3 linked regions of the Struthio camelus genome follow. Each later gene encodes a partner of the first gene's protein in a complex. Links are inferred from orthologs where the notes say so. Each region holds a gene or a part of one and is shown in the gene's direction. Other genes may lie near its edges.

Region 1 (7,804 bases):
AACAACTGCTGCTAAAATTTCAAAGGGAAATATGTGGCTAACTTTCCGAAGTTGACTTTGAAAAGCCATGGTTCTGATTTTATACATTTTCAAAATTTTGTGTGCATTTGGCACTGTTACGGATTTTAAGAAATGAAAGCACCTAGAAATCCTGGTCATCAGTCCTGCTTTTCCCTTCCATCCCAGGTCTCTTGCCTTCTCTGTATTACAGCTGACTGGTAGGTCTGAAAGGTCTGCGGTTTCCTGACCACACTTTCAATGGCTTTAGACAGGACTATCAATTACTTTCATTCCAATTAAAATTAAAGAGCTGAAACAAAATTGTCAAATAAAGAACATGTTTTAGGAATCTATATTCATTATAGATGTGAACAGTTTTTGTGCTTTTTTTTTTCTCAGCAACAACCAGGAAGGTGAAATGGAGAAGATGGTATTTACATTTTTAGGTGATACAAAGTTCAGAAAAATCACAATTAGCTTTGAGAACAATTCTAAACACAACAGTACTGATATATGAGAAAAGTTTGCTATCACCAATATTTGATTTAAGATAAATACATTTTAGTCATGCAATGCCAGAAAAAAACAGTATTTCCAATACACTGTATATGGCCCAACAGAGCAGTACTGCACAAATGACGGAACTTGTGTTAAGGGTATTAGGGTATGAATAAGGGTTATTCATGCATGATGATTATTTTAATGTACCAGGACCAATCAAGCTTTTGCATTCAGGTTTGAACACTATTTTAAAGGAAATAGACGCTAGACAGAAAATAATTATTTAAATGCTTTGAAAAAAGAAAGACCAAGTTCTTCATGCACCAATCGCAGTGTTTAGATCCCATTTACTTAAATCAGTGACAAAAAATCACCTAGTTTTCAGTGCAACAAGGTGCTGATTCTTATGGAAAGCCTTGTCTGTTATTTGGTGGAGGTGCAAAAACTGAAATCTGGAAAAAATCACTTTCAGGAAAGTAATGAAGAGCTCTGGCACTGTTTCTCTGAGCTGGCCCTGAAAGAAGTTGCATTTGTATTGTGAGCCTTAATACTGTTTCTGGGGATAAATACATTTCTCTTTCACTTCTGAATAATTTGTCGTCGTATTTTATAGTGAAAGACATAGCTGCCAAAACAGTGTGAATATAATCTATGGAAATTAGATAGTTTGATAATTTATGCAGTAGGCCCAATGAACAACCTAGCTCGTGTAAAAAGAAGTGAGAGTGCTTAAAAAGGCACTTCAAATAATTTTATAAATTATAAAAATAGTTCAATGCAGAGTTACTGTATGTTCTTGTTTGTTCTCGTCCTATTACGTTCTAGCCCCATCTTTAAAATCAGCATTGCGATATCTCTTCCTTTTTGAATGGAGGGAACACTCTGCTCCGCAACCGCTTTGGTGATTTCTGTTTTGAAGGAAGATGCTGGTTCTGATAACTGGATTTTGAAGAAGCTGTTGTGCCCAGTATGCTCTCTATATGGCTGGGTAACAGGGAAGGAGTAGTACGTTGTATGCAGAACAAAGACATTCCTGACACGCAGAATGCACAGTTGCATGTTTAAATTATGTACTCTACAAATCATCCTTGACATTTTGTAACTTTAAATAGCTGTTTCTCAGAATCTCTGTCTTGGTACTTTATATGGCTCCCATTACTATTGTTCTCAGAGCAGTTGCAGAACTACTTTTCTCCTCCTAGCATTCCTCTGAGGTGGAAAACTATTATCTCCACTTTACAGCTAGCTTAAGGCTGAACAAATGTTGGATCATTTGTCCGATCTATAGTCATCTGCTTAAAGAAAGTCTATGATTGAGGATATATTCAAGGCTGGTCTGAGACTTACCCTAGTGTCCTGATCGTGAGGCCATCCATTTTACCTTTAAAGCTGTTGGCTACCACATCAGAAAGGGACAACAAACTTTCTGATGGTTCTTGTATTGAAAGAATAATTCTTTCATAAATCTTTTAAGATCTTTTGCTCACCTGTAAACTCATCTTTGGGCTGCATGTGTAGTTATCTAGCTCCATTTGAAGAAAGCAAAATGTGTTCCTCTTCAGAAGGCCTAAAGGCTTTTCAAACCATCAGACAGTCATCAGTCATTCAAAAATAATAGAGAGTCTTCTAATTCCCTCAGGCTGTACGCTTTGCCTTTGGAGTCCTGGCCCAGAACTTACGTGATCAAACTGCTCAGGAGCCAAGGGCCGTTCAGAGAAGGGCTCTTGGCCGCTCTGAAGTCTCCAACTGCTCATCTGGAATCCCTAACAAAATCCCTTCTTCACTATCTCTAGGAAAAATAGAAAGAAAATGAATGTATTTTAGAGCAATTGAATTTTCTCATTTTCTAAGGAGGGCAACACCTTGGGTGCTCTACTGAGCGAGAGATCTGTTATTAAATGTGAATTTAAGCAATCACCAGTATTAAGAAAAATCTTACAAGTGCTTTTACTTCAAATGCAACTTTTTTTACTAAACCTATTCTCATGAACTACATTTTCTCAGTGCACTTTGACAATACAAATGTTTTAGGGGAAGGCATGATGCTCACTCTTATGTCACCTGACTGTCCTTCATTAGCAGATGTCTCCATCTGAATGTTGCAGTCAGTTTCTTTACACTTCTTTTTATAGAAAATTATTTGCATCAGAAATGCTGAATAAGGAAAGCTCAAGTTATAATACAATTTTATTGATGCTAAAGAAATTAATGCCAGCTAATATTCTTGTTTCTTGTTCTATTTTTCTTCTGTGTTTGATTTTTGGTAATTGGCCCAAATTGTGTCCCACAGTGGGAGCCTGGCAAAGAGAGAGGGATGAAGAATGGAGAAGAAGATTTGTAGGTGGCAGGGACAGCTTGCGTATGTGGCTGCATACGTATGTGAGCTGGCATAAAGCAAGGCTATGTGGATGCTGTTTAACTAATATAGTATACGAGCCCTTAGCTAGCTAAGAATGTGATCCAGTAAGGGCAAAAGAAATGTTTGCAGGTGCCCCAGTGGTGGTTGATTTCTGTGCAAGAGCAATCAGCATGCACTTAATCACTTCCTAGGAGATTATGTCTGTGAAAGGGTGAATCATACAACTCTTGGTTGACTCATGGCTTGAAAAAAATGGAATTACCACAATCCAAACTGGTAGGAATTTGTGTTCATGAGGAGAAAAATAAAATGCTTGTTTACACAACAAATTTAGGAAGAGGATACTTTACTGTTTAGTCCTTTTACAATGATGAAGGGAAGAGTGGGTTTTTCATTTTTACAAGAAAGAGACAACTGGAATTGAAAAGGAAAGCTAATATATTGCTATTCCATTTCTAGCTATGATCTTGCTTGATCTCATAAGTTAAATAGGGTAAGTGCATGTGACGTTATTAGAGGAAAAACTAGGCAATAGAGGACAGAGTATTTTAGTTGCTCGGAGGACCTCTTCCTCCTGACTCAGAAATAAAGCTGCATCTCTACATGCTGTCAATGGCAATATGTTGTTGGTGAACTACCTTTTGGATAGCAGCTAAAGCAGAAGTTATGATCATCAGTGGTTATTAGAAACCAAAACGACCTGTCTTAGGGCTAGTGCATTGGCTGCATCCAGATTTTGGTAAGTGCTTTACATCTAGTCCAGTTTCTCTTGTAGTTCCAAGTGGATGGTATATTTTCTTGCTTTTTTGCCTAAATCTGTTAGGTGTTGCTGTTTTCTATTATATTCTGAGCTTTACCTGAGAGACAGCTCAGGTAAAGTGGTGGGAAGAAAAGCCTCAAAGGGAGACAGATATTTGATAAATCCCGCTGAAATCCATTTGTAGAGAAGGCACGAAGTTCCTTCTAAAGTGATTCCTTCACAGAGTGTGTTACCAACTTTAAAATATTTGGATAGAAATACCCTGTCTTTCTAGGTTACATGAAAAACCATGAGAAAAGAAAGAACCACTATACTTTAGTTTCCATAAATAGTATTGCATACACGTGATGTTAAATGGATACCCTGTTACCATGAGAATTGACACCTATAGGTTTGCACAGAGGACACAATATTCTGCACATTTACCCACCTGTAACTCAGTGTTTCAGTTTCTCAGATTGTTACAGTTTCTACAGCGGTTCTGGAGGGGTATTTTTGAACTCTGCATCTCTTGTTTAACATGGCAGCTCTGAGAGTCCAGATACATTTAGCATGTACTGCATTCAGTTCACATTTCGTTTTAAAGAAGTCATTTTTGCTCTCTGTGGAGGCTTCAATTACAGTGGGCCAAACGACAGGGATAATTAAGGCAAGTGGTGGAATACCAGCAGAACGCTTTGGTGTTTCCACCAAGGATTTTGCAAATCCTAGCTTGATTAATCTGTTTAAACATCTGTGCATCCTCTTGTCTATGCAACTTATCCCTGGGTAGCTCTCTCTCTTCCGCTCTGTGTGTACCGTGCATGCATTTGTGCCGTGTGGACTCCTGCTCGCAATGGATCAAACACAATCACAGCTCATTCTGCCGTCTCGTTAAGCGCTCGCACATGATGCGGGCGGTAATATTTCAGCAAATTACATCGTCCTCCTTTAAATTCAGCTCACAATTGCATTCCGTAGTGGAACCGCAGGGCAGAGCCCACAACGTTGAGAAATCGCGTCGAAGAGGGGCTGGAGGCCGGCGGCGCCCATTGCCGCGGGCGACCCGGGAGGCGCGGCGCGGTGCGGTGCCGCCGCCCGGCCCGGCCCGGCCCGGCCCGGCCCCGCCGCCGCTCCCCTCGCCGGTCCCCCCACTCGCCCAGGCAGCCGGCTCCGGCTTGCCTCCTTGACGTCATGTCTGTAGAAAGGCTTCAGCAGGCGCAGTGAAGGCAGGGAGCGTGTTAAACTTTCAGATCAAGTCAGCCGGCTCCCAGCGCTGTGCGCGGGGGGCTGCGTGCTGCCGTCGCAGCTGGAACATCTGGAAGTGTTCAGGGTGTCTGTCTGTCTGCGAGAGGCAGAGAGAAGGGAGCGAGCGTGCTGAGGGAGGGGAGGGAGTAAGGGGCTGGGACTGTGCTCTCTCTTCCTCTGCAGAAACAGCTCCCTGCCAACACAACGCGCTCAGAATGGCTTTGAAGAGGAGGAGCAGCAGCGTTTGAACATCTTTTTTTTTTTTTTTTTTTTTTTCCTCCTTTTCTTACTCTTGTAGTTGGTGGATTTTAAAAAAGACATTTAACCCTCAGAGGTTTGTCCTGGATGCTTTTTCTTTCCTTTTTTTTTTCCCCCTCTCTCATTTCCCCCCTTCCTGTTCTTTTTTATGGTTTAACAGCCAGAGGTGCTGTGCTAAATTCTTGGAAGGGGCCCGGATGTACTGAGGATGCATTGCAATTTCACTAAAGGAGGCAGTAGTGGAAAGGATCAGTTTTTGGTGTTTGATGCAATAATGGGAATCAGGTAATAATAAAAGAGGGAATTCTGCAGCTCCATTCTTCCTTGAATTTTACCAAGCCGATTTGCGGAGGGATTAATCTGGACTCGTTTTAAATGGTCAATGAAAACAAGAGGATGTACATTCCAGAAGAAAACCATCAAGGTAAGCTTGAGATTTACCTCAAAGCCTCTAGCAACCATTCTCTCCCGTCCCCATTGTCTGTAGTCTCTCGGTGCAGTTCAGCTGCTCCCGCTGCTGCCACAGCCAGCGGCAGGCGCAGGGGCCGGGGGAGAGGACAGGCTTTGACACCAGTTTCCATTCGGAGCGTATAGATACCATCAGTAACGGGTGTACTGCAGGGAGAGAGCCCCTCAGCCCTTCGGGGAGCGTGTGCTTCGTATGAAACCCCAGGCAGAGAAAAGTTGCTTAAGTCGCCGTCACCTTCTTCTGAAGCAGACGGGCGAGAGGGGACGCCCGGGGCAGGGGCTGTGCAGTGTGGACGGAGGCTAAGTGAAGCCGCGGGGCAGCTCGCTTTTACGTGTCGGGGGCAGATTTAACTCGCAGTGCAGCCGGGATTAGGGGATCTTTACCAATTAATGTCGTCCCGATCCTCCTAGCCCCCATCTCAGTACGGCTTCCTAAGACACCGGGAGAGGAGCCCTACCCTTCTCTTACGCTATTTCTAATCTCTCGCACGAAAGGGGAGGGGAAGGGGAATTATCTACTTACACACACACAACATACACACGCACATACGGAGACAGAATGACAGACACCGGTGAGTGTCTGTATGAAAATTAAAGTTAGGCTTTACTTGGGGCAGTGATTTCTCGACTAGCTCCTTTCGGGATCGCCCGCATCATGGATACCCAGCCGTGCTGCTGCTCCTCAGCATTAGCAAATGTACCCAGCTATTCCCTGTAGTAAAACTTTGTTTGTCCAAACTCCAGAAGTGTGCCCTCGCCCCCCCCTTCCCCGCTCAACCCCGATCTGCTGTTCCTGAAGTTATTTTTATCCTGTTACCTGCATGTTGTCACCCCCTCCCCTCCCTTCCCGACCAGCCCTGAGCGCGCACAGCGGTATTGCAGAGCAGGCAGAGCCATTTCCTTCCCTCGGCGAGAGAGGAGCAGTGCTCCAGCGGCAGCGCTCTGCCGGGGGGGGGGGGTCTTTCTCAGCAGAACCCCCCCCCCCCGTTTGTGGCCAACTTGTTTCCCCTGCCGTCCCCCTAGGGCAGCCCCCCCGCCCCGTTTCGCGGTACGTGCTCGCACCTCCGCTGCCCGGGCTGACTTGTCCGGACGGCGATCGGCGGCGGCGATTTAACAGCTGGGTTTGGTGCGGGGGCGCCCGGGCGGCGGGGACCCCCAGCCCGGCCCGCTGAGCTGCCCAGGTGCCCTCTCCCGGGCCAGCCCCGGCAGGGGCGGCAGCCGGGGACGGGCGTTATCGCTGCAGCAGCTCTTCATAGCGGAGGGGTTTCAGCGGTCGGCCCACCCCCCACCCCTTCCAGTTAAATACGATTAAATAGAAAGAGCAGCACCCTCCAGGCGCCCTGTGGCGGTGAGGTGGGAGAGCAGAGGAAGCGGCCCCCGGGGCGGTGCGGAGCGGAGCGGAGCGCTGCGCGGGCTGCGAGCAGGGCCGAGCCCGCGGCACATGCCAGCGGGCGAGCTGCTGCTCCGCGGCCAGCGCCACGAAGGGGGACGAGGAGCTCAGCCTCCATAGCGATATGCCAACGCTATGGCAACCTACAGCCAGCTCCCTGCTTATCAGCTGCAGTGATTATATAATTGGAGGAGCAGTTTTGCATCTGTCTCTTGATGCGGATTGTCAGGACTCCCAGGTGAAAGAGCAACTCGTAAAGCAAACAGAGAATGAGCCAGATGGAAGAAAGTTGTGTTCCCTGGTAGTGCTCGGGCTGTCATGTATTTACAATCTATTTTTATTTTGTGTAAACAGAGAGCGCTTGAAAGGTTAAATTGATCAGTAGCCAAGAAAAGCTGGTGGCAAGGAGGTGAGAGCAAACCAATCACGATGGGGAAGGGGGTAATTAAAGCGGGTGCGGGGGCTCAGCTGAAAGAGGCTAAAAAGACGAGGAGAAGGCAAGGCTAGGGCTGTGCTGCGGGTCTGCCCTTCACATGTGTGGAGGGAGGATCGGTTCAGGATAATCGGTGCCTCACTTCTGCATCCTTCTCAGCTGCTGGTAGCAGGGTGGATGTTCCAGGTACTACCAACGCAAGAAAAAATTTTATGTCTCTTTCTTGAAATGTGAGTGGCATGACTAGGCCTCTGCCTGTAGTTGCTTTCTGCACATGTCAGCCCTCAGTTAACCACTTAGTAGACTGCCTGAATAGCCTCATACTGAGGAGTCTCTATGGCAAATGAGCCAAAATAATGGTAGCTTATTTAAAAGAAAAAACAAAAGTGTACTGAAGTATACTGGAAA
Region 2 (6,956 bases), on another chromosome or scaffold:
CTAATGAATTTCTTCTATCAGGGCTTTAAGCATATGCTCAATCACGAGTATTTTAGCAGTTTTGCAGCAATCATTGTAAGCTCACATGCTTATATTAATGCAAGTGTTTAATTTTTAGCTTTACTTTCACAAATATCAGTCCAATATCCTAGGCCTATTTTTGCATGCTCAGGTCATGGTCATAGACTAAATCAATCCTGCACTGACTCTGCGTGTGTGCGCTAGAACACCGTGCTGGACATAGACATTCCTGTATTTGGGGTAAGGCAATTAAGCATGCAATGCAATACAGTGCTCCTCGCTCTAGAAGAATATCTAATCTCTCAAACAACAAAAAAGCAATTTTGGCACCCAAACAGCCTATCTTCTCTGTCAGCCTAAGGGTTTTTTAGTTTTTGTTTGTTTTTATTTTTTGTTTGGAAAAAAGAGCTTATCTTTCTTTATGTCAGTCCTCTAACATTTACATGTTTGGAAAAGTCCAAATAAGCATGCACAGCACTTCTCCGTTGCAGATAAAAGTGTAAAAAATGCAGCACAGTGGTTTTCTGCTGAGAAGTGGTTAGGCAGAGCAGGTTGTTTTCCCCTTGAGAAAGAACCAGTAATTTGGAATCTGTGCATATTGTTTTTACACACTGACCTTTCTCCTGGAGTAGATGTGGCCAAAAACAGCATGCGGGGGGATGCCTGCATGTATACGTGTTCAGCTGAAGGATTTCGCACTGCACAGTTCAAGGTTTTAGAACTCTGCCCAACTGCTAAACCCAAGGAGTAGAACAGAGTAAGATACTTAAAATTATTTGCCTAGATAAATGTCCTAGCCACTCATTATATCAAAGCAATGAATAATAATTGTTGCTAAAGAAAAGCCAGGTAGCATATTTTTGATCAAGAATGAAAATAAAATAAACTTAGAAATCTGTAGGTGATTTGAGTGTTTGAGGATTTTTGTTTTTTAGGGGAAAACTATAAACCACAGTTCTCTATATGTAACTAGGGATTTCTATAGGCAGTGAGCTTCCTCTTGTTCATTTGTGCCTTAAAAGCTTCTTTCCTGGTTCCCTGCTTTCTAAAGCCCCTGTATGTGGGTATATAAACAAGCAAAATCACTACCTTTCTTTTTTTTATAGAGGAAAGAAAAGAAGAAAAAGTAATCAGAATGGATATAGGACTTAGCGAAGGAAAAATGAATTTCATCTGATATATTCAAGCTCTTAATTTATGAGAGAGTAGAAATATCCTTTCAACACACATGCACAATTCATGGTTTCAGAGCCTGTAATGCTCCAAAATGATCTCTACTACTCTTAAGGAAGAATAGAATACTTAAAAAGAAAAAAATCTAATGTTAGTTATATATTCCCTACACAACGAAAAAATCAGAAGGCAGTATGAAGGACCACTGTTACATGAATAAATAGCTACCAGTCTTTTCTAATTCTCTCCTATGTGTGAGATAGCATAGACAGCCTTTGAAGGATGCCTTAAAACCTGCCAAATCAAGACTATACTGAATCATGGTGGAAGACAATATGCCAAGATCAGGGAATCTTCCCTGGAGAATGTCTTAGAATAAAAGAACAAATAGTTCCACAGATATTAAGGTGTTGGAAGTCAAAGCTAACCTCTTTGAATGCTCCTCACCCCCTACCCCCTTAGCAATCTTAAAAGAAACAGGAATGTTGTGTTAAGGTCTGTTGTGAAACCTCACTTACGCATTAAACTTCCTTAATTATTATGATGGTCACAAACAGTAACTCCATTAAAACGATCTAATCTGGAAGTGACAAAGATATAAATAACTACTTCAAGGCCTGCATTAGAGGGCACAGGATGTATTCTTCCCCTCAACCATGTAAGGAGAAAATGCGTTTTTAATTACAATCATTAAGAGAACATTTGGAAGCATTCCAAGATATAGTATCCAGTTTGAAGGTTCTTTAGCATCTCTACTGAACTATTTTAAGGAAATGGAAGCATGTAAAATAACATTCTTTTTGCTTAAATTAAGGTTCTCTTGTGCCGTAGACAACAACTTGGGTAAAATTCTAGAAATGATTTTTGAAGAATAACATGACAACTTTTCAAAATAAAAAAAAGTTGAGTTTTTTGGACAAGTGAAAGTTCTCAAGCTTCTTCAAACCTCAGAGCACATCTGCTTGCAGGGAAAGCCAATTCCTTCCAAAAAGCAGAAAGTTTCTGCAGGACATGTTCACCATTCATATGGACCATGTGGTAATTCCATAGGGCTAAGCTAATTAAGTGAGAACATTCAGCAGCCATTATGAAAAACTGGAGGTAAATCAAGCACGCAATCAGGAGAAAAGTTGAAAGCATTTCTTGAAGCTGAACTGGCTTTTCTGTTTTTGGTTTGTTGTCTCTACGTTGTCTCCTTTTTCTATATGCAACTATTGTGCTCCTGTTAGTTTTTGTTGTGACTGGAAGTATGCAGACATATCTGGCTGCCCAGAGTTTATGCAGCGATTTGTCGTTCTTCGTAACATGAAGTGATAAAAGATCTCACAAACAATCACAAAGTGATCTGGAAAACACAAGTTTCTCTCCCTTGTTGTCTACAGCATCGCTAGGTCCAATCTGAAGAGGACAACAAGAGGTAACAAGTCTATCTCTATAAAATCTAGTCTGACTACAAATCTTGGTCCATCGAGTGCTTATGCGGTCAGAGGCTGTAGGCTGTATCATGCCAGGTGAGCGTTGCTTCTGAGAAATGAACGGTAGATCTTCTCAGGGGTGGGGGCTGTTTTTCCTGGGTCAGGATTTGAACAGACCTTTCAAAAGTCTCCTGTGGGGTACATGATAACCGGATTAAAATTGTGCTGCTGCAGGTTTTATAAATATAGATAGTAGGCTTTATCTCACCTGCTAGCTAGGAATTACTCAGCCCTGCCTCATGTGCCTACGGGACTCTCCAAGAAGTACCGGAAGAAACCGTATCAATTGGACAGAGCTTCCCGTCTGAAAAGCGCCGATTTGTTCCCTAACAGCAAACGTATCCCGCGCCTGCCTTCGGCTTCGACACGAGCTGAGACACGCGACGTCCTGGCTAGGGACCGGGAGCGCCCACCTGTGCGGGGCGGCCGGGGCAGCGGCACGTCCCCTCGGCTCTCCCCGCCGCAGCCGGCCGGGGCGGCGCCGCTCCGGCGGGGCCCCGCGCCCGGGCCGAGCCGGCGGGCAGCGGCAGCCGCGCGCCCCTCCGCCCCTGCCGCTGCCTCGCTGCCTCGCTCGAGGGCAATGCTAGCTGTAAATAGCAACTTCTCTGACGGCAGGCGGGGAGCGGGCTCGCTCCCTCCGCCCCAGCCCCCCTTCCCGGCCGGGGCCCCGGCACCGCTCAGACCCCCCGACCCTCCCCTGCCCTTCGCGCACCGCCCCCTCCACCGAGCCCTCCGCGGGGCCGCCGCCGCCAGGCCCCGGCGCAGCTCCGCGCCCGCGGCCTGCGCCCAGCCCTCGCCCTGCCCGCGGCGCAGCGGCCGCGCAGCCCCCGCCCGGCCGGCGAGGGAGGGAGGGAGGCGCCGCCCCGCGCCCGCCGCCCGGTGCCTCGGGGCGGGGGGGGGGGCGATGCTCGCTGTCACTTTCCCTCTTCCCCACGCGCCGCCCCCTGCCCTCCCCCTGCGCCCGGCGGCGGCGGCGGCGCCCCGTCCCCCGGCGCTGCGCGCTCCCCGCCGGCAGCAGGCAGGGCCGAGCCGAGCCGAGCCGCGCCGCCGCCGCCGCCGCCGCCGCCGCCGCCGCCGCCGCCGCCGCCGCCCGCGCTCCGTCCCCGCCGCCGCCGCCGCCGCCGCCGCCCGCGCTCCGTCCCCGCCGCCCGCATGGCCGGGCGCTGAGGGGCGCCGCCGCCCCGGCCCGGCCCGGCCCGCCCGGCGCTGCCCGCCCAGGGCCCGGCGCCAGAGCTGCCCCGCGCTCGTCTCCGATGGTCCAGAGCGACATGTCCAAATCGCCTCCCGCCGCGGCGCAGGAGGTGCAGATGGAGCTGCTGGACAACCCCCTGCCCGCAGCGGCGGCGGCGCAGGTACCGCGGCGGCGGCGGACCCCGCGGCCGGGCCGGGCCCCGGGCGGCGGCGGGCGGCGGGCGGCGGGCAGCGGGGCCGGGGCAGGGGCGGGGGCGGGGGCCGGCGGCGGCGCTCGGCCGGGCCGGGCGGGCTTGGCGGGGGTGCAGCGGCCCGGGGGTGCCTGAGCTGCCGCCGGAGCAAATGGGGAAGGGAGCGACCGGGCTGCCAGAGCTGTCTGTCCTTCCACTTCAGCTCCCCGCCGTCAGAAAAGTTTGACAGCTCTTCTGGAGAGCCCGACCGTTTAATTACCGCACACAGTGGGGTGCTCTGTGCCACAGGGGCTTTGCAGAGCGAGTAGCCTTTCAGTTACCCAGGGCGTACCTAGATAAGAAAGCGTTGCTGTTGAGGCGCTCGCTCCTCCGTGCATTTGTTGCGGGCTGCGGTTATTTTTCCCTCCCCCGGTAACCTGCTGTGTCCGGCCGTGATGCTCCCCGCGCTCTGCTGCGCCCTGCTCACCTGTTGCACGGGCAGGAGCCTGGCGGAGAGGGGCAGGCCGTGCGCGCCGGTCGCGGCACCGCGCTTTGCGGAGGGTGCCGGTGCCCGGTGCCCTGCGGAGCCCAGCTGCGGCAGCACCGGGCAAAGGGTGCTGTGAGAGTCCTCTGAAATTGTACCAGCTCGGGCCGTGTGCGCTGCATGCGGGCTGGACGTACGGAGGGTGACAGGGAGTAGGTGGTAGCAGGCTTGGTGAAGACTTTATATTTTGAAAGATGGATCCTGTTTAATATATGAATGTTGCATAATATCTCCGAGTTTGCAATAGTTGGCTACACAGACTTAGGGAGCTATTTTTAAACCCGGTAAAAGGGTGGTAAAATATGATTGTGTGCGTTTTAAATTACAAACATACTTGTTCTTGTTAGGACAGAGATTTGGATTTTTTTTCCTTTCGGGGTGGCAGTTTTATTGCTGCTGCCAAAGCTATCTCTAATCCTCTATTTTCTTTGGAGAAAGTGGTCTGGTTTCATCACAGAAGTGCTTGATTGCCACAGGAAAACGGTGTCAGTCTGTCAAAAGACTCGCTAATTGATCTTTACTTACTGAGGATTGCGAAGAGCGGAACAAAATTCAGGCACTGAAATGGAGACTAGGTTAAGTTAAAAAGAAAAAGTATCTCTTTGGATGTGAATTTGTCTGCAGTTTCTAAGTGTGGAGCAGACCTTTCAGTAGGGCCATTTGCTTTGCCAACTTCTCCAGAGACAGCGGCGGTGGAACTAATTTCTGACCTGCAAATACCTCCTTTCTTGTCTCTTTTCAGCCCTAAGAACAGAATGGGCAACTGTGAAATCATATGGTGCCTCTCTGCTGTGGCGAAATGTCAAATAGCGATCATAAAGTTGAATCTCACCCCTCCTTTTAACTAGATAAAGACTCTCTCTCTAGAGGGGAAGGATAGTTGCTAATTCTTGCACTTTTTATGTTTCAGGTAAGGTACTTATATTCTGTTCTATTTAATTGGTTTCTGAATGCCTACACCAAAAAAGGACCACTTCTCAAGACAGTGATAATGCAGCTTTTCGGTTCAGGGAATAATTTTCAGTTTTCTAAACCAAAGTCAAGTTAGGCAAAACAAGAATCTCATCTTCTGCGTATGTATATGTTCCAGTCATACATAAACCTTGGATGTGGAAGAAGTAAGATTATGGAAACAAAAGATCCCTTTATCTGAATAATAATATTCAGTTAATTCCTTTGTATGTAGTGCATTGAAAGACAATTATTCTGATCTGAGTTTTTGCTCCATTAACGTGATTTCTAAAAAATCAATATTGTAAAATCTTGCTGCTTTAGAGTGTACTCACAGTGAGAAAGAGAAGCTTAATGTGAATATGTGAATCATCAAGTAGATAGCCTACAGGTACTTCAGTTAGGCCCACCATTATCTTTTTCACTAAGGTGCTTGAGTATTGATCCTAGAAACATTTCATGCCAAGTAGCGCATCAGAAAAAAAAAGGAAAAACAAAAACATGCGAGTTTACGGAGTGATATCACTCCTAAAAGTACTCTCTCTGAAGTGCTACTTCTGGGAATTATGATTTAGTGAAATATAACTGAAGAGCCTTCGTATACTTGTAACAAGCTTGAAGATTTCTCTTCTCCAAGAATTTTACTTTTGCAAAGCAGAGAGTTTCTTTTAATCTGGCTGTGCACCATGGTCAATATATTGGCTCGTACCCTTCCATAGATTTTGGCCAAACTTGTCCAGGCTTGGCAGAGGAGTGAATATATTTAACAATCTTTAAGAGTAATTACTTCCACAGTGTTAATTATGTGAACAGTTCTTAGATAGCCTCTGTGTAAACTCTAGTCCTTATTTTTGTAACCTGTTTTGCTAACAAGACGTGCAAAGGGAATAAAATCCCTGTAGGCGTTGATCCTGACAATTATACTGTCCTCTCCCCGAGGAGTTCCTTGACACAGAGGCAAGGTATCTATGCGTGTTTCTGTCTTACCTAATATACTGAGGCTCTTACCTCCATGCTACTGTAAAAAGCATAAGTACTCATTTTGATCCTAGTCCAGGCAGGGTTGTGGTAAACTTTGAGATGTCCAGTCTTATCCAGATGTATGCGCATGTTACTTGTTACACTGTGGAGTCATTCACAGTGTTGATGTGTAAGTCAATGCAAAGTAGTCGTTGTAGGTGTGACTCTTTTGTAATAAACTCAGCATTTGATTTTCAGAACTCATGAAGCGTGCAAGCTATTGAAATGCTTCGGAGTGATTTAAGATCAGTAGCTGTTTTTCTGAATCAACTCCATTTCCCTTTTTAGCTCTTTATTTCAGGAACTTCTCAAATCTACAAATTTTAATCAGAATACTCAATTTAATTATTTTAAATAACTCAGATGCTATGCTCATTTTTTCTTCATATATTGTAACATAGCATATTAATA
Region 3 (7,202 bases), on another chromosome or scaffold:
GGTTTCCGCCAGCCCCACAACGGGGGCTTTGTGGGCGCCCCCGCGCCGGCCCACAATGCAGGGCTTGTGCGCAGCCCCTGGCCCAGACAAGGGGCCCCTTTACCCCCCCCCTTCCCCAGGCTGGGGGTTGGGGGAGCCGCAGCGCCCACGGGACCCCCCCTCACGCCGGCTCCAAGGCAGGAACCCTTCCGGCCTCCAGAAGTTTCTAGAGGCAAAAATTTTGGCCGCAACGAGGATTCTGCAAATCTCTGCAGCTGCGGGGAGCTGCCGGCGCGGGAGCGGCGGGGCGGGCGGCCGCCGCGGCGGGACCCCCGCGCCCCACCTCTACCTGCTTCCAGAGGAAGGGGTCGGCGGCGTTGCGGTGCCAGGAGATGCCCAGGTGCAGGGCGGAGAGCAGGGCGCCGGCCAGCACGGCGGCCCGCATGCGCACGGGCAGCAGCGTGTAGGTGATGTAGATGAAGAAGACGCTCCACCAGACGCCCTCGGAGGCGCTGCGGGGGGCCGCGGCCAGGGTGCCCAGCGCCTGCACCCCGGCCAGCAGCCCCAGCACCACGTAGCTCACCACCCACATGTAGTCCTGGGGGAAGGCGCTGCGGCTGCACAGCACCATGAGCAGCAGGAAGAGGGCCGTGGCGCCGGCCAGCGCGGCGGCCGCGGGCACCGGCGGCGAGCCGGGCAGGCACTGGAAGAGCAGCATCACCCCGCACACCAGCACCAGGACGCCCATGAGCACCGTGAGGCTGCTCTGGTTCATCTGGAAGAAGTAGCGCTGGTAGAGCCGCTCCAGCTTGGCCGACTGGAAGCGCTTGGAGCGGAAGACCTGCAGGACGCGCCGCCAGCACTCGCCGGCCGACAGCCGCTGCCCGGGCTCCTTCGGCCCCTTGGCCTCGCCGTCCTCGAAGCCCACGTCCACCGACTTGAGCCCCAGCTCGCCGGCCGCCCCTTTCTTGCCGTAGTGGTCCTCCTGCCAGGTGCAGCGCAGCGCCGGGGCGGTCCGGGCCGGCCCCCCGGGCCGCTCCATCTCAGGGTCCTGCAGGCAGCTCATGTAGCGGGGTCCGCAGAGGGCGGCGCGCGGGCGCTGGCCCTTCTTGCCGTTGCGCTCGCCCCATGCCGTCTTCCGCTCGTCCACCTTGGGCACCAGGATGCCGCTGAACCACGACATGCTGCGGGCAGGCGAGGGGAAGGGGGGGGGGGACCTGAGCTGGGGGGCTCCGCTGGCTGCAAAACGGCGCCGGGGGCTGCACGCCGGCGGTGCCGCAGGAGGGTGGCAGCCCCCCGGGGCAGGCGTGCGGACCCCGAAGCCAGCGCGGCACGGGGCAGCGGGCGCCCAGCCCCGCGGACACCTGCGCCGCGGCTCTGCCCGCCGCCCCACGGCCCGAGCCCACGGGTGACACCTCGCCGCCGCGGCCTCGGCCGGCCGGGCGCCGCGCCGCCCCACTGCAACAGCCTCCGGCTTCCCGGCTCTGTTTGCCTTGAACGGCGGCCAAGGGGCTCCGCCGAGCTGCCGCGGCCCCGGGGCCACCGGGGCACCCGCGGCCCGGCCGGGACGTGGCAACCGGGCGGCGAGCGAAGGCGACCCGGAGCGGCGGAGCCCCGCCGGGCCCTGCCCGTGCACCCACCGCCGCCGCCCGCTCCGCTCCGCTCCGCCGCCGCGGGGCCTGGGAAAGCGCCGGCCCCGGGCAGCCGCCGCCGCCGCCCCGCTCACCTCCGGCTCCGGCTCCGGCTCCGGCCCCGCCGCCCGCTGCTACACGGCGGCCGCGCCGCGCCCCCGCCGCTCCATCCCGCGCGCCCCGGCCGGGCCCCCGGTCCCGGCCCGCCCCGGCCCGGTAACCGCCCTCCCGCCCGGATCCGCTCCCGGCCGGCGGCCTTAAAGGCGCAGGCGGCGGCGGCCCGGTGCGGCCCGGTGCGGGCGGGGGAGGCGGGGGCGGCGCGCGCGCGCGCGCGCGCGGGGGCGGCGGGCGAGCGGGCGGGCGCGCGCGGGGCCGGGCGGGCGAGTAAGGGCGCACCGGCAGCACCGGGCACTGCGCACCGGCGCGCGCGCGCGCGCGCGCGCCCCCCCCCCCCGCGGCCGGCACACGCGCAGCCCTTGCACACCCGCGCGCGCGCCCCTTGCACGCGCTCCCCCTCCGTGTGCGCGCGCGCGCGCACCCCGCCTTTGCGCGTGCACGCGCGCAAGCAGCCTGGCGCTCAGCGCAGCGCGCTGGCCCAGGCGCGTGCACGGGCGCACAGGGTGGCCGGTGTTGGGGGGGGGGGAGAGGGGGCTGCTGGCACGCGCAGCCCCCCCCCCCCGCACGCCCATACACCCGCTTTTGCACCTGCCCGAACACGCGCGTGTGCGCGCACACGCGCGTGCAACCCCCCCCACGCGTGCACACCTGCCCACTCCTGCGGCGCGCACCCCCCTCCTTGCACACTCACCCCCCCCCCCAGCAGCACACACATGGGTGCAACACGCAGGGTCTCCCCAGCCGAGGCTCCCACCCAGGCCCCAGCCTTGCACCCCACGGCCCGGGGCACCCCACGGTCTGGGGACACCCCACGGCTCAGGGGCACCCCCCCCCAGCCCAGGGGCACCCCCCGGCCCGGGCGCCAGCCCGCCGGGCCCCCGCGCGGAGGGAGCCGCAGCGCCCGGCCCTGCGCGGCACCGGCTGGCAGCAGGAATGCAGGCCACGTCCTCCGGGGAGACGAGATTAATGATTAATTACCAGCGACTGCCGCCGTGTCCCCAGTGCGGGAAGTCCCCGCCGGGCCCAGGGGGGGCTGCAGGGTGCAGCCAGGGCCGGGCACCCGCGGGTGCCGGGAGCCCCCCGGGCGGCCGGCGCTTCCCCCTGCCCGAACGCCCAGTTGGCCCCGGGGCAGGACGAGGGCCGGGGCGGCGCGTGGCTCCGGGTGCCGGCAGGGCGTGGGACGCGCCCGGCGGGGACCTGGAGGCCGCCGCGTCGCCCGTCCCTGCCGGGCTCCCGCGCACGGCCCCGAAGGCGCCAGCCCCGGCCCCGCTCCCCGCCTTATCAGCCGAGTCCAGAGCTCCCTGGATTAATTATTACAGGCGCGTTTCCCTCCTGGGTCCGGCCCCGGGCCGCGAGGCCCCGGCACACATTAACCAGGAGGCGGCACCGCGCGGCGGCCGCGGCGCCTGCTGCGGAGAGGGAAACTGAGGCACGGGGCGGCCGGGCAAGAGGGCGCTGCTGGGCCCTGCTGGCCCTCGTGCCCTGTCCCGGGCTGGATCCCGGCCCTGCTGGGGATCCCCATGCTGGATCTTGGCCCTGCTGAGGCTTCCCAGGCTGGATCCTGGCCCTGGTGGGGCTTCTTGGGATGGATCCCGGCTCTGTTGGGGATCCCCATGGTGGATCCCAGCCCTGCTGGGGCTCCCGGGGCCGGATCCTGCCCACGTCACCCCTCGCAGCAGCAGGCCCCAGCGCTGCTCCCTCCATCGATCCAGCCCTGCAGCAAACCGCGTTGCTGCAGCAACGGCAGCGCCGGGGCCGGGCCGGATCCGGCCGCCTCCTCCGTGGGCACCCCGGGGTCACGGAGCGTGGGGTGCATGTGCGCGCACACGTGTGTGTGTGTGTGTGTGTGTGTGCGTGTGCGTGCGCTGCACGAGGTGCCCGTGGGTGGGTGTGAGCGTGCGTGCCCACGGGCACGCGTGTGCGCACGCAAAGCCTTGACTGCAGGCATGCATCCGTGTGTGTGTACACACGTGTGCGCATGTACACGCGTGTGCAAGCCAATCCCAGGGCAGGGGGCAGCGGGACTGTGGCGGGGGGGGCACCAAGGCCCCCCCCGGGCTCCCCCCCACGGCCCCACCTGCCCCACGCACGGATCTGGGGGGTGCAGATACCCCACGGCGGGTGGGGGGGTAGAAGAGCCCGGCATCCCCGGGCACCCACAACCCCGGTCCCCCCCCACATCGCGGACACGCGTGGGCGCCCGAGCAGACGGTACCGCTAGGACGGGCCCGGCAGCCGCGGGGGCGGCGGGGCGGGTGTCCCCGGTCCCCTCCGGAGGCTGCCCAGCCGCGGGGGGCGCAGGCCGGCCGCCACGGGGATGGGCGCGGGGGCGGGCAGGGCGGGGGCGGGGACGGCCGGGAAGCCCCGGCGGCCCCGTGCGCGGCGGAGCGCGGCGGCGGCGGCGGCAGCGGTGGCGGCGGCGCGGCCCTTCCCGGCGGAGCGCCGCGGTCCGGGGCTGGGCGGCCCCCGCCGGGATCCCGGACGCTCCGGTCGCTGCCGCCGGGCATGTCCGGAGCGGCGGAGCCCGCAGCACCCGGCTCCTTCCAGGTGAGCGGCGCCGACCGCCCCCCCCCCCCGCCCCCGAGCCCCGCGGCGGCCCGGTGCCCGGTCCCGCCGGATGCCCGGTGCCCGGTGCCGTCCGGTGCCGCCGGGGCTCACGGCTCCCTTCTCCCCCCCCCCCCCGACCCCGCTCCCCGCAGAGCCCCCGCAAGCTCCCGAAGCGCAAGAGCCGCTTCAAGCGCTCCGATGGCAGCACCTCGTCCGACACCACCTCCAGCATCCTCCGGCGGCAGGTGAGGCCAGCCCGGGCCCCCCCGGTCCGGTCCGCTCCGGTCCCCCCCCACCCCCCCCCGCTCCGGCCGGGGCACTGGGGCTGGGCGCACGCACCGGGCGCCGGTGGCATCGCCAAAGCCGCTCCCCGCGGCTAAAAATAGCGAGTGCTGCGTCAGGGCCGGGCCCGGGCCGCCGGGTACCGGCACTGCGGCGGCGGGGCCCGGCGGGGGGGGGGCGCCGGCGCCCCGGGACCCGCGGGGGGGGGGGTTGGAGGTCCGGCCGCTCCGCAGCGCCGCTGCCCGGCGGCCGTGGGGAAACTGAGGCAGGGCAGCTGAGGAGGGGGCCGGGTTGGGGGGGGGCTGGGTCTCCCTTCCCGCCTCCTCCCCACGGGAGGGGGGGGGCTCCCGCCGCCCCCGCCCGCCTGCTCCGTCTCACACCGAGCCGAGCGGGCCCCCCCCCCTCCCCGGGTAAGGGGGGGGTGGTACCGGGGCCAGCCCGCAGCCCTGGGGGGGGGGAGGAGTCGGGGGCCCGGCCACCCCCATGCACCCCTTGCAGGACCCCCTTGCAACCCCCCCGACGCCCCCTTGCCCCCCCTCTCCCCTCCGAGCACCCCTGTGCCCGGCCCCCCCCCGGCCCCCGCCCCGGCTGCGCGGCCCCTTCAGCACCTCGGAGAGGGCCCGGCGCGGCCCCCCCCCCCCCCCCCCCCCGGGCCCGGCCGCCGCGCGGTACCGGGGCGGGCCGGCCCGCTCCCCCGGGGCCCGCCGCTGCCCCCCTCCTCGGGGGCGGGATGGGGGGGGCGCGGCGGGGGGGCGGGAGCGGCTCCGGCCCCGCCGCAGGGCTCGCCCTGCAGACGGGGCTGCTGCCGCCTCGGGGCAGCACCGGGGCCGCCGCACCGGAGCATGGAGGTACCCACCGACCCCCCCCCCCACACACTCCCACCCCCAACCACCCCCCGGGACCCTCGGCGAGGCAGCCCCCCCATCCCACCCCTCCGCCGCCTTCAATTGCCCCGGGGGCCCGGTCCAGGCGCCCCCCCCTCCTCCTCCCGCCGGGGCCGCCCGGGACCCCCGGTGCGAGAAAGAGCCCCGGTGGCGGCGGCGGCGGGGGGGGGGGACAGCGGAGAGGGGCCGGGGCCCCCCGGCAGCCGCGGGAAGGGGGGCGGCTCCGTGCGCCCCGGGGGGGCGGCGGGAGGCGGGGGCGGGGAGGGGCGGGGAGGGGCGGCGGCGGAGCGGGCAGGGCCAGCCGGAGCCCGAGCCGCAGCCGGAACCGGAGCCGGAGCCGGTGCCGGGGCCCGGGCGGGGGGGGGCGCGGGCGGCTCGGCTCGGCTCGCCCCGTCTATGTCGTTTTCTGACTCCAGCGCTACCTTCCTGCTCAACGAGGTACCGGTGCCGGTACCGGGCGCGGCGGCGGTTCCCGGGGGGGCCGTTGTGCCCGGAGGGGGGGCGGGGGGGACTCGGTGGGGGCGGCTGTGCGCGGCGGCGGTTGTGCAACGGGGGGCGGCGACTGCGCACCGGGGGCTGCGCGCGGCGGCGGGACCGAGCCCGGGGCGGGGGCTCCGGTGCCCCCCCCCCGCCGCTGGCCCTTTGTTCCCGGGGCGGCGCCGCCGATCTCGCCCCCCCCCCGCCCACCCGGCCCGGGACCGCGCGGTGGGCAGCGGGGCCAGCCGCGGGGGGGGGGCTACATTGAGGATGCCGGCTTGGGGGTGGGTATTTTAGGGAGGCCATGTTGGGGGGGGCACGCTGGGAGGGCTGCGATAAGGTGGGGGGGAGCCCAGGGCCCCCCCGAGACGCGAGCGAAGCTGAGAGATGTGCGGGGGGGGGGGCTCTTCTCCCTGCAGAGGAGCCCCGTGCCGTGGGGGGGGGGTCCCGGTGCCCGCCGTGCCCACGGCAGCCCAGAGCATCGCCGGGGAGGGGGGACGTGGGGGGGGGGCTCGCAGATACATCCAGGCACCTATAAATATTTCACTGCAGCTTCTGCGCTTGTTCCGGGCGCAGCAGGCGCCGGCTCATTTCCCGCTGGGGGGGGGAAGCTGGGGGGCTGTGGCGCGCCCCGGCCCTCCGGGCCCCCCCCCGGCACAGCGGGGGCGGCTGCTGCTTCCCGGAGCCTGGCGTTTCCTGGGCATCCGGCGAGCCCTGGGTGCAGCCGTGCCCGCGGCCCCCCCCGTTAGGGAGCCGGGGCTCTGCCAGGCAGCAGCGGTGCCCGGAGGGGCCGGGGGGCACCGGGTTGGGGTCAGGCCCGGGCGTTGCGCGGCCGCCCCCGTCCCCGCTGCAGGGACGCAGGGCGCAGGGCACGGCCGCAGCGGTCTCTGGGCGCTGGCGGGGGGGGGAGGCTCCCGCGGGGCCCCCCCGACACTCAGCCCCCGTCCCCCAGGGCTCAGCGGATTCCTACACCAGCCGCCCGTCCCTGGACTCCGACGTGTCCCTCGAGGAGGACCGCGAGAGCGCCCGGCGCGAGGTGGAGAGCCAGGCCCAGCAGCAGCTCGAGAGGGCCAAGGTAGCGGGGCGGGAGGGAGGCACGCGGGAGCCCGTCCGCCCGGCCTCGTGCACGGCCTCCCCGGGGCCGGGGGTCCAGCCGCCGGGGGCCCGGCAGGTCGGCGCTGACCCCCGCGTCCCCCAGCACAAGCCGGTAGCCTTCGCCGTGCGCACCAATGTCAGCTACTGCGGGGCGCTGGACGAGGAGTGCCCGGTGCAGGGAGCCGCCATC

Evidence for each region.
Region 2: CACNA1C (region 1) and CACNB2 share a complex: the UniProt entries of both Homo sapiens proteins name them as parts of the calcium channel complex. The link is inferred for Struthio camelus from reciprocal best matches to the Homo sapiens genes CACNA1C and CACNB2.
Region 3: CACNA1C (region 1) and CACNB3 share a complex: the UniProt entries of both Homo sapiens proteins name them as parts of the calcium channel complex. The link is inferred for Struthio camelus from reciprocal best matches to the Homo sapiens genes CACNA1C and CACNB3.

Annotation. Positions count from the first base shown.
Region 1 is NC_090942.1:69,941,609-69,949,412, forward strand, and holds the start of CACNA1C (voltage-dependent L-type calcium channel subunit alpha-1C), read left to right. Parts: upstream 1-4,773; 5' UTR 4,774-5,480; coding exon 5,481-5,529; intron 5,530-7,804. UniProt on the Homo sapiens protein: Pore-forming, alpha-1C subunit of the voltage-gated calcium channel that gives rise to L-type calcium currents. Mediates influx of calcium ions into the cytoplasm, and thereby triggers calcium release from the sarcoplasm.
Region 2 is NC_090943.1:23,439,031-23,445,986, reverse strand, and holds the start of CACNB2 (voltage-dependent L-type calcium channel subunit beta-2), read left to right. Parts: upstream 1-3,903; 5' UTR 3,904-3,922; coding exon 3,923-4,021; intron 4,022-6,956. UniProt on the Homo sapiens protein: Beta subunit of voltage-dependent calcium channels which contributes to the function of the calcium channel by increasing peak calcium current. Plays a role in shifting voltage dependencies of activation and inactivation of the channel.
Region 3 is NC_090969.1:1,026,740-1,033,941, reverse strand, and holds the start of CACNB3 (voltage-dependent L-type calcium channel subunit beta-3), read left to right. Parts: upstream 1-4,150; 5' UTR 4,151-4,232; coding exon 4,233-4,274; intron 4,275-4,426; coding exon 4,427-4,519; intron 4,520-5,380; exon of another isoform or gene 5,381-5,398; coding exon of another isoform or gene 5,399-5,404; intron 5,405-5,748; exon of another isoform or gene 5,749-5,836; coding exon of another isoform or gene 5,837-5,878; intron 5,879-6,869; coding exon 6,870-6,992; intron 6,993-7,115; coding exon 7,116-7,202. Other genes in the region: ADCY6 (adenylate cyclase type 6), read right to left, coding at 329-1,162. UniProt on the Homo sapiens protein: Regulatory subunit of the voltage-gated calcium channel that gives rise to L-type calcium currents. Increases CACNA1B peak calcium current and shifts the voltage dependencies of channel activation and inactivation.